Styela clava: one gene and its partner. The protein of the gene in region 1 interacts with the protein of each later gene in a pairwise test. Links are inferred from orthologs where the notes say so. Each region holds a gene or a part of one and is shown on either strand. Other genes may lie near its edges.

Region 1 (9,936 bases):
TCGTCAGACGATATCGAAGGAGTGGTGTCCCAGTAAAAGTTGAGCTAGAAACTGAACGATTGACAATAAATAGACTGGAAGAAACTGTTGTCAAACAATGGGAGAAATTTGAAGCAAAATGGGCTAAGTTTGAGGAAAATCGAAAAATAACTACGACTCGCCATAAACCTTATTAATTTTTGGTGTATAATACTTTTCTGATGTTTTTTTGTTTTTTAAATCATTTTGAGAACACATTATTACCTTGTTTTATTTTTTTGACAGCCTCAATGAAAGGCTTTGTGTCAGGATTTTGCAAGTATGGTTGCTATTCAAACATGCGGAGCATTTATCTGCGTAAAGTAGGCACACTCGGAATTCGGATTCTTGATTGAAATTCATTTATTATCATTATGAAAGGTCTGAATTATTTGAAAGTTTTGTTGTGTAACGTCAGTCCCAACTCTGGAATTGTCATATATAAATGACGTCAATCATGCTTTGGTGATCATGGATGTGTGGAATAAGTTGCTTGTGTAGTGTAGCCTTCGGTGAAATATGAAACATTTTAACTATTGTTAAAATTGAGAGCTCATGTGCTATAACTATAGCTGCAATATTTTGAATTTCTATTTAGTATTAACTTTCTGATGTAGTACGTAAAACTTATGATCTTCTTTAAGTCATGCTGCTATTTTTCAACTTTCATCTTATGAATTTTGAATTTTTTTCTGTCATTATCTGATTCATTTGATATTTTTCATTATTATGAGCCATTAATTTTTTAAAGTATGCCTTGGAATGAATGATTAATTGTGAATTCATGTCTGGAGGTATATTATTCATTTGGTAACACTCTCTATTACACTTTTTCAACCACTTACATTCTTTTTTTTTTCATTATATGCCATTGCGTACAAAACTTTATTGATTTATTCAAACAACTGCCTCTATCTAATCATAAGTTTTCTATTTTATTAGATTCGGTTAACCTATCTTTTATATTGGTGTGTTAAATTACTCTTGTATTGGACAGAATTGGGTGCCTGCATTGTTAAGTTGCACCTGCTAAGCATTCTTGCATAGTGTTTTGTTTATAGGGCTCAGTTTCCTGAGGCTAACTTTTTCAAGCATCTATGAGATGGTATATTTATCCTGGTTCTAGGAAAATTCGCCGTAAATAAGTTTGCCCTAGGAAATGTCGCCGAAGGAAATTTCGCCTAATGGGAAAAATCGCCGCAAGAGCATTTTGCTGTAAAACAAGTATTTGTGATAAAACAGGTTTTTGAAGTACCTTTTTATTTATAAAAAAAAATCGTTATTTAAGAGCATACATGGATGTACGGTAATAATAATTAAGAACATAAAGAAAGAATCGTAATCCTAACCCTAATGTTTATATGAAACAAAAAGTTGTTATTAATTGTTTTTATCACAGACCCTTTTTTTTCACAAAATGCTCTTCCAGCGATTTTCCTGATTAGGCGAAATTTCTGCGACGAGTTTTCCTACCGCAAACTTCTTAGACTAATTCCCCACACAATTTATCCTTGCTCTGAAGCCTCAGATACAAACTTAACAGTTTAGTGGTATTTTTGAGAGTTATTTCTGCAATACTTGCTTATTCATCCATGAGCTGAATAAAAATATAAATTACTTTTGGTCTAAATAGTGTAGTGTGAATAATGTAGTAATAATAATGTCTGGAATAAAATAGCTTGGCATGGTTTTTCTGCAATCTCAAAGTTTTCTTCTCACTACGAAAATTCACTCAGAATCTACTCTTAGTGCACAACAAATTTCATCAATGTCTACACAAAATTGCAATCTGGGCTTTGATAGTTCATCTCAAACATCTTCTGACACTTCAGCAACAGCTCAATCGGAGTCTTCTACAAAGCCATTGCCAATGACAGAGCCACATAATCTTGTTACATTTCCCAGTCCTTTGAATATGAATATCAATCATAAAAGTAAAAGAAAAGCAGAAGATTCTTCGAATGAGTCTAACGGAAAACATCTCGAAATTCTGTCATCTGATCTTACTAATAATAATGAAAATAAAGATCATGGCACCCATTCTGGTTCAACTATGAAAGAGGTATCTGATGACATTGACAATATTATGGACATGGAAACTCCTGATCATATTGAGCAAGAAAAATTATCAGAAGGACAAAAAATTCTGTCTAAAGACAATACTGTTGAGACTTCGATTTCTTCTAATAGTGATATTTCAATAAATGACTGCAGTAGTGGGGAATTATGTAAAACAGTTGGTAAAGAGGAAAATTATGATAAAGGTTCTTCACATGAGCAGCAAAATTTTTTGATTTCCGATGGCAACCAAAAAGTTGAATTGAAGCCAACCCGGTCTTCTACTCCTCTCCGAATCAAGCTAAAAAATGTAAAAACTACGGATAAGAATAAAAGGGAGGAAATTAAGACAACTCACTCGAAAATGGTACACACAAAGTCCGATTTCCATACTATATGTCACTTATGTGAAAATGCAATAAAACTGACAGAGAAAGATGGAGACACCATATTAACATATGATGGTTATTTATACACAAAACTTTTTGTGAAAGGAGATAACGTACACTGGGTATGCCAAGTTCAAACTGTATTTAATTGCAAAGGCGCTCTATTAACGAATGTAGCACATACAAAAGTCAGGGGTGGTAGTACCCATTGTCATGAAAGAATATCATCAATTACCACAAAATCATGCCCAGTGGCATCGTTTTCTTATATGTATGATGCAGAGATAAAATTTGCAAAAACGAGACAGGGCGGACAAAAATTAGTATTCGCTGGATATACATACACCAAGAAATGTGCAAAAACTAATTATATACGTTGGGAATGTTCTGGTAGAAGAGGTTTTTCATGTAATGGAACTGTGAATACAAATATAAAAGGACAATCGATACTCTCTTTCAATGTTCATACACATCCTCCAACAGAGCATATTTATGATGATATTATTCCAACATCATCTGAAAAAGTAACACAAAAACGTAAACGAAAGGTTAATAGTAGTAAAGAGAAAGATACTTTAAAGGATTTGGTTGATGAAATTGAAAGAAACACTTCAAAATTCAAAAAATCAAAAACTTGCCGCATAGATTTATCACCTAAATCTAATACCACTTTAAAAACTGATGAAGACAGCTCAGATGTAATGCTAGAAAAGTCTTCCAATTCAACAAATGGAAATAAAATAATCACTAAGTGTTTGAATAAGGTACTGAACAGTCCACCAAAAAAAGTTCAAATATCACTTGCCAATGCTGATATTACTTTTCACTCCGAATGTGTTGTTTGTGAATCCTCATTAAATCTTTTTGATGACGATAATGGCGATAGTATTTTATCACATGATGGTTATAGTTATTCGAAAAGCAGTTTAATCAAAGGGATATTACATTGGTCATGCGCTCTGCGAAAAAACTCACAATGTAAAGGATCTATATCAACTGATATTGAATGCAGAAGAGTTTTAAGTTGTTATGCCCACTGCCATCCACACACTTTATCTGGCCATAGTGGCTTTATGTCTTGCCCTGTTATTGCACAATCAATTTTTACTGACTCTAAAATTGAATCTATTGCAAGTGGCAAAGGTGGTATAAAATTGTTAGTACGTGGTTATACTTACACTAAGAAATGTGGTAAACTTTCTACGATACGGTGGGAATGTTCAAGAAGAAAAGCATTAAAATGTAGAGGCTCCATCACCACTAATATTGATGGCACAAAAATATTTGGATTTAGTACTCACTCACATTCAGACATGGATAACAGATCTGAAGTTTTCAAAACAAATACTAAGAAAAAGAAAGATCTAGAATCCGAAACACTCATCAACTCTGCTGCACATGATTTGAAGTCAAAACCTAAATTGTCTGTTGGTGATGACATAGACCAGGATAAGCTACCAGATACTGTTGTGGTATACTGTGATATTGACTGATTGAATGAACCCATTCTACAATGGTTTACAGGAGATATATTTTGGGGATGCTTCGAATCAAAATCCCTGTTTATTAGAATGTGTGATTACACAATAAAAGCTCAATTTTATAAGTCAGATTTAGCATACACAAGGTAAAAACCACGGCAGTTTGGAATATATTATAAAGCAGTGGTTCTCAAATATTTTAAGCCGCGCCCCCTTTTTAGAATTTGTCTCGCACTCCACCATAAAAATAACTATCTATCCATAAGCTACAAACAACAGATAGCAAGGCGAAAGTATGTTTTATTCAAAAAAAACGTTAGAAATATGTGGATGGAACGTAAATAATGAAATGTAAATACCCAAAAAGGTGGGCAAGATCAAATCTAACAAATATTTTTATTGTTAATTAGCTTCACGCCTCCTCAAAAAATTGTCTACCGGTATGCCCCCCTTAATAGGCACGCCCTATTGTTTGAGAACTACTGTTCTAGAGTTACATTACCATTTGTGCAACGTGTTACGTGTCCTTTGGTTACAATAATTTTTAAAAACAGAAGTGTTGAACAAATTTTTGTAGAAGTAATTTAGAAATTTATAGGTTCTGTTTTTAGAGTTACTCCGTTTTGTTATTTTCGCTGGAAAGTGAGAACATTCATTTAGAACTTGAAGTCGGGGATTTTAGAATATCGTGCCATAATCTTATGAACATTCTTGTTTCTTCCACGAGGGGAATATGATAAAAATTGTCGGTTTGTATGAGTTTAGACCGCCGGTCCTCAACATTTTCAAATGGGACACAAACTTATTAAAAATTGCTTATTGATAGATAATCAATTACCGGTAATTTTGATTGGTGCAGCAATGAATGATGATGCTGTTTTTCCCTACTGAGTGGTAATTTAGATTATCAAAGTGGAAGTTGAGAACGACTGGTTTAGAATATTGTCTTTGTACTGAAAGGGTTTAATCATTCGGTATGTGTTTTAATTTGCAGTCTTGCATTCAACTTTTTTGAATCATATTTCTTTGCAATACACCTATAGATGTAGTCATTCGAATAGATAATACAGTTGAATATTGTATTTCAACTTTGATTAAACAACTTTTAAAGTTGTGAAATATGTGTGCAATGAATGAATATGTCAGTTTTAGAACGCCGTTCACCATATTTTTATAGTCAAGCTATAGCTATAATATGTGCCATGTCAACTGTGTATAACTATGATATTTGACAATATTCTCCTATTATTACGTTATTCAGAAGCTTATGTCCTATTTTTGAATTTCTTATTATGCTGTTTGTATAGCGGTTACTTTTAGATTTGATTTTGCACCTGTGTTTTTGTTGACATGATGAAATTTATACTATGATAAAATTTATTGTTGAAAAATCATTTTTTTTAGATATATTGTGGTTTAAGGAGATTAGTCTTTATCTGTGTTAATAATGTTTACTATTTTATTGAAACATAGATTGTGGAATAATTTCAGATTTTAGTCACTATCTTGAATGCTTTTTTTTTCATAACGTTTTCTTTTTCTTGGATATGCTTTTATAATGTGGGTTGTTGGGCTATTACTTATATGACTAATGTATTATGTCACATTTTCTTAACAAGCTTGTTTTAAAAGCTTAGAATATTCAGTTGAAGCTGTTGGCATTCCATCTTTTAGAAAAAAAAATTTGATTAGAATTCATAAGCAGGGCAAGAAATTCACATACTACACATTGCAAAAACTTTGAATCAACTTGAGTAATTTGATTGTTATCCATGACATTATTAAAGAAGTACAAGTGTAACTTGTAGATATTCATTTTTTTTTTCTATTGCTATCTTTCATATGTATGCTTGCCTTTATTAAATGTTGTTGGGTGATGCTTGAGTACCAAAATTTTTCATAATATAAGCTTCATTTGAGGTTTTGCCTACTCAACTAGAGTCTCTATTTTTATTTGTATAAAAGGGAGTCTTCAAAATAAATTGTCATTGGAATATTGACAGAGATCTTGTCATACAAGATAATAATGCTTGTCATTGATAAAATACTAAATGTTTTTTCACATTTTTATGTGCATTTATGGTTATTTTTTTTCAGACAGCTATTATGCTTATTGAATTATTAAATTAGTAAAAATGTCATTTGGCAATTGGATGAACAAGAATCAGGTGCAAGATATTCCTCCTGTACCTCCAGGATCTGGTTTATTTTCTTCACCATTAGCACCAACACAGCCTAGTGTATTTGGTGCTTTTAAACAAAGTGGGGAATCATCCAATGCTGGTACATCTACTGGTTTAGGTAGTCTTCAATCAAGTTCTCTGTTCAGCACAGAGCAAAGTGGAAGATTAAGCAATACAAGTAGTTCATCTACATTTGGAAGCAATTTTGGTGTGCAGAGCAGTCAAGGAAATGTGGTTGGAAACACTCCTTCTTTATTTGGGACCTCACCCCGACAACAAACAAGCGTCGGGTCTGTATTTGGCCAATTTGGAACTACGAATGATAGTGAAAAACCGTTCCAGCAAGCTGCCGTCACTGAAAAACGAGATCCTTCTGTTTCCTCTTTATTTGGAGATGTGAAATCAACTTCTTCAGTTTTTGGTAAATCTGGCTCTTCATTCAGTCATACACATACCAGTCAAGAGCAAACAGTGGCGACCACATCACACTCTTTTACCCTTTTCCAACAAAATAAGACTAACAACACTGCATCTTCTCTGTTCGGATCTAATCGTACACAAACGTCATCATTAGGAAGTTCCAATATCTTCGGCACTATTTCAAAACCGTCTTCATTTTTGAGCGACTCCCAAACAACAGCTGAAAAATCGCATTCTACAGGTATATTTGGGACATCGCAGTCACTTTCTGATAACAAGCTCCAAGCGAATCCACGACAGTCAGTTATTGGTCGACTCCCAGTGCAACCATCAATTTATGGAAAAAGAAGATCACACATTGAAGAGGTTGGAAATACAGCGGAAACAAGTAATACTGGTATTTCAAAACCTCAGATCAAGAAAACATATGGACGTGCAAGATTTGGAGAAGCGCCTACAGCTTCCTATTTGCAAGGAAATATACAAAGAAAGCGTTCCTATGATCAAGACACCACACAAGAATCACTTAAATCCAGTCCAGAAAGCCATGTTGAAGTTGTAGAGGCGTCAAGAAAAAAACGTACAATGCAGATATCGCAGAACCCGGCATTTCATCAAATGCTTGTTGGATATAAGAAAAAACTGGCAAAACAAAGAGGTGATGAACCAGACATAACGAGGCAAGATAACCTAAGTGGAAGAGCAATTGCACAACCTCAATTTAGTAGAGCTCGAGCAAGGCGATCATCATCATCCTCTAACCTTATAGATCAGAGCGCAGCATTACAGTCTAGCGCTATCATTTGCCACAACGTTCCCCCTGATTTAATTGATAACAGAGATCTGCTCAGGAATCATTTTGAAAAATTTGGTCAAATCCTTCGTATTAATATTAATGCAGAAAAAAACACTGCAACTGTAGTATTCAAAACTCACGAAGAGGCTGCTGCAGCTAAAACTGAAGGGGCTCATGTCCAACAATCAGATTCTCCAATGAAAATATTCTTTTCGAAAAGAGCAAGAAAATCTGTAGACAAATCTCCTACGCAGTTAAGTGAATCTCAAAACTTGAAAGTTACTTATCAAAGTGGTCACAAAACACTCGCAAGAGTAGCAACTCAACAAGGAAACTCTGCTCGATTTCCACCAAAAAATCGAGTGTTTGCTCAGATTTTTGCTAATACTGATGAAGAAAAACTTGGGATATTGGAGAAGATTGATAATTTGCTCAGGAAAAAGGTTGTTCGACAATCAGACATCAAAAAAGCAAAGACAAGCATAGGAACTTGCCCGGACATGTGCCCAGAAAAGGAAAGGTATGTCAGAAATTTAAATGTATTGTTTATTAATGCAAGATTTATTTACAAATGGGATTGCATAAAAACTATTCACTCATCATAATATACTTTAACTCAAAACGAAATAAATTACCTCAATATTTGAATCAGAGATGCAGGACAAAATGTTGCGATAATTTGAAAATCATCATCGTTTATTAGGGTGCTTAACGTTATCTGGATAGAACAAAACAGTATCTTATAAAATTTTGAATTTTTTCTCTGCGTGATGCTTATGAATAGACAATAATGGTGTAATATTTGTTCATTGAATTATCATTAAGTAAAGTGCCTAAGCCGCAAGCTCAATGATTCTTTTAACAATTTTTTTTTATGCGTTCATGCGTATCTAGCTGGGTGAGGTGGTTGAAATGGGATTTGAACCCAAGGTTTTAACCTGCTATGCCATCTAACACTTTAATCACAAGGCCAGTACGCCCACAAAATTTGGAGACAGTTATTGCCATATCATACTTTTTTAGGTACTTGAGACAACAGAGAAAACTTCTGTCTGCTTATGAAATGGAAGGTGGACTAGTATGTCATTACAAAGCTGTCAAAGAATACAGTCGATCTTCTGCAGACCAGGAAGAACCTTTACCTCATGAACTACGACCTGCGAGTGTTCTGCAAATGACAATGCATTATATTCTTTTGAACATGATGCCAAAATTAAATGAAGGGCAGGTCGCAGACTGGTTCGACTTTGTTTGGAATCGCACTCGGGCTATAAGAAAAGAACTTACAATACAACAATTCAGTGATGTAACTGCAGTACACATCAACGAGGAATGTGCGCGGTTTCACATTTTTTGTGCTCATCATTTGTGTGAAGAAGATAGAATGGTATTTGATCCGAAAATAAATAACGAAAATTTAGAAAAGACAATGAAAACTATCATGGATCTTTATCACGATGTATATTTCTCGCCTGCTCAAGGTCAAGCTGCAGTACCATTGGATAATTCAAATGTAGCAGAAATGTATGGATATTATATCTTACTAAATATCAACAAAACAGCAGATGTACTGAATGAGTTACAGGAACTACCTCCTGAAGTGAGGTATTCGTCAGATGTTGGATTTGCCGTACAAGCATTTATGGCAGTGCACAGCAACAATTACGCCAAATTTTTCAAAGTTGTCAGACGAGCTACTTTTATGCAGGTTAGTCAGTAAAGTTTTTCGCCTCAGGATTTTAGCTGAATCTTTTCCATGTTATGATAAATTTTCAATTTGGTATGGTCATGCATATTGGCTTGAGAAAAAAACATACACCTAATAAAATAACTATTGCACCACTAATGAATTACAGTTAATTTTGACTATAAAATATTGGATTACCTGTAGATTCGGACATTCCAAGTCTACCTTCATTTATAAAGAAGATTTACATGAATAGAATCAAAACAATGTGGAAAAAATAAGTAAATAACCTTCATTTTTTACAATAGAAATAAAAAATATTGTAGTATATTTCTAATACTTGTACATTTTTCAGGGCTGCATTCTTCATCGATACTTCATGCAAGTCCGAAAACAAGCTGCTTCGACAATATGTAAAGCATTTGTCGTACAATCTAATAAAAGGACTGTTCTTTTCCCTGCTGATGATTTTATGAAAATTCTTAGTTTCAATGATATGAAGGAAGTTGGCATCTTTTGTCAACATTTTGGAATAGAAATTGACGCCAACAATATGTTGTTATTAAACAGGTTGGTGAATAGTTTTTTTGAATTGACTCATCTTAATTGTGTGTGGTATATGTCAAATGGGCAATATTCTAAAGACAGAGATAGTAGCTGTGCATAAATTTATCCGAAAACATGTGCTTCATAATCGATATTGCAGGCCAATTTTCGTATTTCATTGGACACGTAGTGGACATAACGAACGTTTCAAAATTTTGTTGTTATTGTTATTTGTCTCCATCATTTTTAAAAAAATCGTTTTTCTCTTCGAATACTGGACCAATTGCTTTGAAATTTTCAGTGGTTGAAGATAAAATTTTTCCTCAGAAGGCTATTACTTTTATTCATTTTAAATATT
Region 2 (9,541 bases), on another chromosome or scaffold:
ATTTTGAAATAGTACTCTTTATTTTACGCGTATGTTTCGACAGTATTTCCATATACTGTATATGGGTCGCTGTATACTGTATAGTTTGTGCACCAAGATTGCGCACAGCCTGAACATAGTATTGTAACAGGTTATGGTTCAGGTTGTGCGTCATTATGATGCACAGGTTTGACAAAAAACACTAATACAAATATCGAGCCGTAAAAAAATTGCTCAAGGCTGCAAACTCCACACCCATGTATAAATGATTTGAAATGAGAAAACTTTATGTCTGAAATAAAACTTGGGCCAAAAAGGGCCCCTTATCTGCCGGACTATAAATAGTGGGTCCAACTCTAAAAACGTAAAAAGTGTTTCGGAATTTTTTCAATCCTTTCATTGCACATATCTTTTTGAATCGATTCTCTAACTAACAATTGACAGTGACTATCCGGTTAGGTAAAGTGTAAACTTACGGGTATTTCCCTTATTCGAATATGAAAAAATATTGACATTCCAAGTAACTGATTCCACGCCAGTCCAGTCCTCACATATCAATTAGGCGGCAGCCCCTGTTCACCGATGCCAACTTACCAATAGATCTTGATAAACTTCAGAGCATCCTTACTAAATAACTGAATCAATAATAGATTCATTCCTGGTCTTGTTTTAGTCAGTGAGAGTCATATTGACAAAGAAGGCTACCCTTTATCAAATCATAATGTCATGTGTTGTATTCTATATGATATTGATGAGGGTAAATTGACATTCACGAATGCAGTGATTTTTAACTCTTTGGGATTTGTGGAATACGTTTTATATATATCATAAAGTGCTCGCGAAACACCGGAATTTCAGACTTCAATTTTTTAAAGACAACTTGTTTCAAGGACCACAATGCCCGTGTTTATGTTGTTTATATATATATCGTTTATAATATACTATTATGCTGATGCCATTTTGCAGGGCCTGAGTACTGTAGTAACATTCGAATTTGTATTATGAGACTCCGATAACCCACGCAATGTGCGAAGGAAAATATGTCTCTCGCTTATTTCGCCGTTCATTGGACTGGGGAATAGCGCATTTTGGTTATGTCTGCTGCTTCGGTTATTTCAAGTGTCGAGTTGCCGTTTGCATGAATAACCAGTCTTGGGTCTCTCTTCCAACAAAGAATGTTTCATGGGATTTGATGACATTCTTGAAATACAATTTATCAATTGTGTATTATTGGCTGCCTGCTTTTTTATATATAGATGCCGGATCCAGAAACGAAAACCATTTTTTGATGTTTTTTATAAATTTATTCGTGATGTTCGTGACAACGAGAAAAATATAGCAATGAAAAATGATCAAATCCTGATACACAAAAGAAAATGGCATTTATTTATATAATAGTCAATAAAGTGATTTTTTGCTATTAAATTACATGTTACTGTTTTTCTTTCCATTTTTGCCGATTGATTGTCCTTATATAGTATATACATAAAATGTGACATTTTCCTGTTTTCTTATAACATTATTAGACTACAATTACAAACATTGTGAAAAATTATCTTTTATAACTATATTGCTGATTTAAAAACTGTTTATTTCAATATTCTATTTGCTAAATGATTGTCCTTGGGATTTTTTCAGTTTTCTTATAACATAATTAGACTGCGATTGCAAACATTGTGATCAATTTTATAACTGTATTACCAATATCGTTTATTTCAATATAAGTTTATTTGCTGAAAAAAAAAAAAACTCTTGGGTCTCTCGATCTAACAACCACAGTTAAAAGACAGAACTGTAGAATTTGTTACCATCAACATGTAACGGTTGATGTCCTCTTCCACTATCGAAATGGTACTGTTATTTCAAATGCCAGAATTGTTGAATTTTGATGCGTTTCCGTTCTAAATATGTAATGTTTTGCATGAAATCTTTGAATTGTTGACTATGTTAAATGAATTTTAGGTGCAGTGTTCAAACATTGTTTTTTTCAAAATTGCGTTACTTTGATACTTTCATATATATTAGCGCAACATATAGGTTCTGAAAAAGACCAAGTTATGTATCGTATAATAGGCTATTTTTCCAAGTCAAGTTAATTAAGTTAATTAAACAGTTCTACTGGGAAAGGGAAGTCGTGGGGACCAAAACTGGTCACCGAGCAGCAAAAACCAAGGTTAAATTTCTAATTGGAATTTAGAATCGGGAACCTACTGTTTTTGACGGTGTTATCCAACTACCGTAACATCGCTCACTAGAGGTGGTTGGTTACTAGAGATTGCAATGAACAGTCAAAAAGTCTACTGCTGAACGGGGAGTTTCCGAATCCAGCCGAAAGAATATTACCCTGTTGTTTATTCCGAATTTTCATGCTGGCCATGAACATTGACAAGAATTCGCATTTGGAAATCATATTTGAATTGCTAAATAATATTGCTAAACATATACCTAACTTCAAATTTCCGACTCGGGGTTATGTTTGGTAGCGAGTAAACTCGTTTGATAGTAAGCGCTAAGCAGTGTTGCATGATAATCGTGTTAATATTTATGTTTAATAATTCATGCTCGAACGCTCTTTATGAGTCTTGCCTGACGCAATGAAGTTATTGTGTATTGTCATAAGGCAAACCACACCCTATATCTCGTGTATGGTAGTGTTAACCAAGTTGTCGTTTTTTATACCTACTTTTGTGCATACTAAGGTAGAGACCAGGATGACAGCCCATTTGAACCCACGTACATATGCACTCGTAAACCCCTAGGACATTTGCACCCACCGACACTTGAACCCATACATTTTCATTCATAGATTTACGCACCAGCGGACATTTGACCCCTGTACATCTGCACTCGCGGAAATTTGCACCCATGTACATTTGCACCCATAAACATTTGCATCCACAAACATTTGCATTCATGTACATTTTCACCCATGACATTTGCACCCTGGACATTTGAAGCCGCGGACATTTGCACTCACGTACATTTGCATCCATGGAAATTTGCACCCACAAATATTTGCACCTATGTAGGCCTACATTTGCACTCGTGAACATTTGCACCCATGAACATTTGCACCCTGAACATTGCAAGAACTGATTAAAATTTGTAAACAGATTATACAATGAGTTGTTTTAATGTTTTATTTGAAGTCGCGGACATTTGCACCCACGTACATTTGCACCCGTGGATATTGGCACCCACAGACATTTGCACTCATGTACATTTGCTCCCACAGACATTTGCACCCATGAACATTTGCACCCATGGATATTTGCACTTATGCACATCTGCATTCACAGTCCGGAAGAATCGGGCCCTAACATTGTTTTGAGACATGAAGTTTTTTTTTTATTGTTTAGAAATAATGTCGATGACATAAATAATGATACCCAGGTGGGTGTGGAGTATATAATGTTGAGCAATTTTTTCTAAGCGGATTTCAAGTATTCGTACCAAGATGACGCACATCCTGAATCCTAGCCTGGTACACATACAATGTTCACGTAAAATCGACAAACGTGTATAATGACAAAAGTAAAAAATGTAATTATACACATAAGAATTCATACAAGTGAGAGATTCATAGCAATAGATAAGGAATCGCGAAAGACTGTGACAGTCATCGAGTCAGCGACACCTGTGGGCTGAAGAGGGAATGACAAAAAAATTATACAAATTTAATCAATCAATATTAACAGAAAAACAAAATCGCAACATATCACCAGAGAAACGACTTCGACTCGACAAAAGCAGGATTTTGCAACAAGTTGTTTACAGCAGTGCCCTTCAACCGGTTATACGGTATACCAAAGTGTATACCGGGCTATAAGTTGGGTATACAACTGATAAAGGGTAAACGAAGGGTGTGCAGCCTAGATCAGGGCGAAGAACCGACCTGAGCACATTGTTACATCACGAATTATATAGATAATGCGGTCACGTGTCTGGGTTGGTGATTTCGGCTGCCATGCACTTCGTTTGATTTATGTTGAACATTATTCCCGTTGACGCTGAGGCCGTCAGTCAAATTTATAACTTGATCAAGAGTGATCATTAAATTAACTGATTTTTATTTAAGTTTCCGAAACACAACTGAAAACTAACGAATAGAGTTCAAAAACACAAAAACGAGATAATGTTTAAGACCACGCTTGAAAATCTGTCTGAGTGAGAAAAGTGTCTGAGCGGATGCGAAAAGGGGGCATTGTTACGTCACTTTTTGCATCTTGCTGATTGGCCAATGTCACGAAGTAAACAAGGAAGTCGATGCTCGGGGAAAGGTCCATTGCATGATGAGATTGCAGTAAAATATGTGCTTGAAATTTTATGTTTATTTAGGCCTTAAATGAAAATTGGTATTTGTAAGGTATACCACATTAAAAAAAATAAAAAAGGTTGAAGAACACTGGTTTAAAGCACTTTCTACTCTTTGAATTGTTGCGTCATAAGGATAAGGATAATATATACATATTTATCACGGGGGAGAGGAAAGCCGATAAGACGGCTTATTCATATGGCGAACCACGGCCTCCCGTTCGGTTACCATTCCAAGTCGGTTATGGGATTAGTTATATTGTTTGTTTTCGGTAGCATGGACTTGGTGGTAGAGGAAGCCGTAACCGACCAGCGGTTACGTGAACCACCCAACGACGGCGAGGAGTCCAGCAATCCTCTCGCACATAACCATCCCTGCATGGGATTCGAACCTGCGAACCCACGCAGAGTAATTAGAGGTGCGGTGGCTAGCATATTCCTAACGCTTAGCCCGTTGAGCCACACCGCCGCGCCGCGTCATAATGGTGTCCACACCGATGCGGGTTGTTTTCCCCGATCTGTGTTAATGGATGAAAATCCAAATTGCGTTCGGGTTTGTGGTGGTGAATTCGTCTTCATCACTATTCATTCGCTATTTCGGCGCAAATGGCAATATAACCTCTTTGTCTTAAAAGTGTGGTATCCAAAGGGTGTATATGTTTACTAGTGCAAAATTAAGTAGGATGAAGCGAATATCCGTGGGTGCAAATGTACGCGAGTGCAGTTGTGCGTGGGTGCAAATGTATTGCGGGTTCAAATGTGCGCAGGTGCAAATGCCCGCGGGTGCAAATCTACCGGATGCAAATGTCCGTGAGTGCAAATGTCCATGTGTGCAAATGTCTGTGGGTGCAGATGTACACTGGTTGAAATGTCCGAGAGTGCAAATGTCCATGGATGCAAATGTTCAAGAGTGCAATCTGTATGCGGGTGCAAATGTATGGGTGCAATTGTTCATGAGTTCGAAAATCTGTGGGTGCAAAAGTATGCAGGTACGTGTAATTGTCCTGGGTGCAAATGTACGTGGGTTCAAAGATAATGAAGGCAGAGACCAGATATAGACGATGTACGATCAGATGATTCATCAAATCTAACCTACCGGTAATATTTTTTATGACATCTAAAGCGTAAATAAATACTAATGCGACTGAAGTGATTCGGTAGGCAGCCTGAGCATCAGGCTGCAAGTGGAAAAATTGAGAAACACCGTCTTAATCAGTATACAATTCATATATAGTAATCAATCATTAATATAATATTTTAATTTTACATCAAAACGAACGCAATTTAGAAACCAACGACTAACATATCGAAACAAGGGAGTCAAGGACCCACCGCTGTCGCTGGTTTGCTGCAATAACACGCATCAGCGATTAGAAGTCCACTTTGTTTCCTTATTCTGAAACCCCGCGAAACATGGACACGTGATCTGATCCTGGAAGTCTTGCAAACTCTTCGTTCGTTTTTGCCGTTTTGTTTCTGCGGGGGTATTTTTTGGATTAAATATAGTCAATATGATGGATGTGGACATTGATGAGGAATTACGGGAAGCTGAACGCCAATATTTGGATTTTCTTGATGATGAAGTCACAGACCAAGGTGTGTATTCTGCGTTGGTTAGAGAAATGATTGAGAAGGGAAGATCCCGAATTGTTGTTAACATAAACGATCTCCGGCGACGAAATAATGTGCGAGCTAAAAAGCTTTTGGATAATGGTTTTGATGAGCATGGTGCTTTTCAACGTGCTCTGAAAAATTATGTTGCTTCCATCAACACTGAATATGCAAAGCAACACGAGGAGTTTTTTGTTGGATTTGAGGGAAGTTTTGGGTCAAAGCATGTAACTCCTCGTACCCTAACAGCATTGTATCTTGGTAGCATGATATGCCTTGAAGGCATTGTTACGAAGTGCTCACTTGTTAGACCAAAAGTTGTTCGTAGTGTTCATTATTGCCCCGCTACTAAGAAGACTTTAGAAAGAAGATACACTGATATGACCTCTACAACACCTTTTGTATCAAGTTCTGTGTACCCAACTAAAGACGAAGAAAATAATCCATTAGAAACCGAGTTTGGATTATCAGTTTACAAAGATCACCAGACCTTGACTGTGCAAGAGATGCCTGAAAAAGCTCCAGCGGGACAACTTCCTCGATCGGTGGATATTGTTGTTGACAATGATTTAGTTGATCTCTGTAAGCCTGGTGATCGTGTCCAAGTCCTTGGAATATTTAGATGTCTACCTGGTAAAAAACAAGGCCATACTTCTGGTGTTTTCAGAACTATCTTGATTGCAAATCATGTAAAACCTCTTAGCAAAGAGGTTATACCAATGTTCTCAACCGATGACGTTGTTAAAATAAGGAAATTTGCAAACCAAAAAGGTGCTGACCCATTTGAAATTCTTGCCCATTCTTTAGCTCCCTCTATTCATGGCAATGAATATATCAAAAAAGCTGTGCTCTGTATGTTACTTGGCGGTACAGAAAAGATTTTGCCAAATGGAACAAGACTTCGTGGTGATATAAATGTTTTGCTGATAGGTGATCCAAGCACAGCCAAATCACAAATGTTGAGATATATTTTGCATACAGCACCACGAGCTATAACAACTACTGGTCGAGGAACAACTGGTGTTGGATTAACTGCTGCAGTGACTTCAGATGAAGAAACTGGAGAACGCAGACTTGAAGCTGGTGCTATGGTATTAGCTGATCGTGGAGTTGTATGTATTGATGAATTCGATAAAATGAGTGACATAGATCGTACCGCAATTCATGAAGTAATGGAACAAGGAAGAGTCACTGTGGCAAAAGCTGGCATTCATGCAAAGTTAAATGCTCGATGTAGCGTGTTAGCTGCAGCGAATCCTGTTTATGGTAGATATGACCAGTATAAGACTCCTATGGATAACATTGGAATGCAGGATTCTTTATTGTCTAGATTTGACTTGCTTTTTATCGTTCTTGATCAAATGGACCCAGAAAATGATCAAAGAATATCAGATCATGTGCTTAGAATGCATCAATATCGTGCAACAAATGAACAAGATGGCGACCCAATGCCAATATCGATTGGTGCAGATATTTTGTCCACAGATGATCCAGACTGCGAACAGAACAAAGATCAAGAAACGCCAGTATATGAAAAACATAATAAATTGCTGCATCGTGGATCTGGCAAAAAATCTAAAATGGTGAGTATTGCCTTTATGAAGAGATATGTTCATGTGGCAAAAATTATAAAGCCTACTTTGACAAGAGAGGCTGCGGAATGTATTGCAGAAGAATACACCAAACTCAGATGTCAAGATCAAGAGAATAGTGATGTAGCCAGAACCACACCAGTCACTGCTCGTACTCTTGAAACTTTAATTCGTCTTTCAACTGCGCATGCCAAAGCACGTTTGTCCAAGAAAGTAACTTTGAAAGATGCTCATTCTGCTATTGAGCTTGTGCAATATGCTTATTTTCATAAAGTGATGGAAAAAGAAAAGAAGAGGCGAAGAAAGACTCACGATAGCGACAGTGAAGATGAAGTCATTGAAAGTCAAAATACCTCAGTCCGCAAGAGGAGAAAGCGTGGGGATGGGAATGAAACCACTGGAGATCCAAATGACCCATATAATTTTGATTCGGCCGAAGAAGACACACCTGATGTCAGTGCTGTGGGTCGTCCTTCGCAACAACAGTCAACTGTTGATGTTTCAATGGAAGACAGTGAGCGTTCCACAACTGCTATTGATGAACAGAAGATGAATAAATTCAAGAAGTCACTTTTTGCCAAATTTGAAGTTGAACACACACAAAGCCTGCCCACAGCTGCCATTGTTGAATGGGTCAACAAGGATAGTCAGGAGTTTTCCAAGGACGATGTTGACACCTGTCTTTCACAAATGCAAGACAGCAATCAAGTGATGTATACGGATGACACTGTATTCCTCATTTAAAATCCAGGAGAATACATTCAATTTCCAGAATGTGTACATCAATGAACATATTGAACCTCAGAAACAAGAGACAATTTACCATTTCTTTTTACTTTATATGCCATCATGTTTGCTTTCTGCTGTTGAATTTGTTATCCATAGCTCTTTCGTAAATGTTCCAAATGTAAATCTGTACAGATAGTTTTGTTATTGTGAAACTTATACGCAGTGCTTGATTGGTTCCATTATGAGATTAGTTCAGCAAATGAGCAGGCAAGAAAAAAAATTAGTTTTTTGCAATGTCCTCCACGCTGTTGTAGGTTTTTACCCAAGATTCTATAACATGTTGCATAATGCTAGATTACTTAATAGCAGTCAGTGTCAGGCAACCACTTTCATCAAGGCGTACTACAGGCAAGTCCACTGGTCTTGTCCATCTGTATGCCATTAGATGAAGTGCATTGTAGCAAATTACAAATTCTCGACTTGTCAGAAACTTGTTTGCTAGTTCTATAACTGGGATTTGGGCCCAATGGGAATGCGCTGATACTCAGCCTATACTTGCGATTGGTGCCAGCCAAGATATTTGTTCACCAAAGACGTTTGTCTAATAATTCGTAAGGCCAGTGTTACGTAACAGTTGGCATTTGAAAGATTAATCGTGAATTAATAAAAATGTCCCACAAATAATTACCTCAGTATATATGTTCCGCCATTTTATTAAAGTAATGCAGCATGAAAAGTACACAAAAACCGCACGAATGAATATAGCAATAAAATCAATTAGATACAGATGTCAGTCAATATCATTCCATAAGCACATAATGCTAACATTTGCAGTTCAGGCAAAAAAATCCAAGCCCCACTTCTGATCTTAAAAAGGCAAAACCTACTAAAATCTGAATAATGTCATGACATACTGCAAAATATTAAGTGAAACAGTATATAGATAGCAATTAATTCACTATAAGCATATTAACTACAAATAGAATAAGAGTTGAAACATCATACTAAATATCAAAGTAAAACTAAATAAGCACAAGGGCATATAACATAGTCTTAAATACAATTTGAGACACGTTTCTATTATTATATGCAGAATTCTATATAGTTCACAGCTGATAGTTCTCATGGATTTGGTACTATTTGCTGTACAGGTTTATAATTTCATTATGCTTGTGTTGTACTGATATACGAAACAGGGAAACAGAACTTGAAACAAAGGGGAGCACAACTCTAATTAAAACAACGCACGACATGACTGATACAATATTTTGAATGAATTTGTGCATGATAAGACTATTGAATAAAGATTTGTCCTA

Evidence for each region.
Region 2: the proteins of germinal-center associated nuclear protein-like (region 1) and DNA replication licensing factor MCM3-like interact in a two-hybrid assay, tested with the Homo sapiens proteins (2 studies listed by BioGRID). The link is inferred for Styela clava from reciprocal best matches to the Homo sapiens genes MCM3AP and MCM3.

Annotation. Positions count from the first base shown.
Region 1 is NC_135260.1:9,574,759-9,584,694, reverse strand, and holds the start of germinal-center associated nuclear protein-like, read left to right. Parts: upstream 1-6,038; 5' UTR 6,039-6,081; coding exon 6,082-7,865; intron 7,866-8,368; coding exon 8,369-9,053; intron 9,054-9,387; coding exon 9,388-9,602; intron 9,603-9,936.
Region 2 is NC_135257.1:13,039,136-13,048,676, reverse strand, and holds DNA replication licensing factor MCM3-like, read left to right. Parts: upstream 1-5,678; 5' UTR 5,679-5,804; coding exon 5,805-8,240; 3' UTR 8,241-8,441; downstream 8,442-9,541. UniProt on the Homo sapiens protein: Acts as a component of the MCM2-7 complex (MCM complex) which is the replicative helicase essential for 'once per cell cycle' DNA replication initiation and elongation in eukaryotic cells.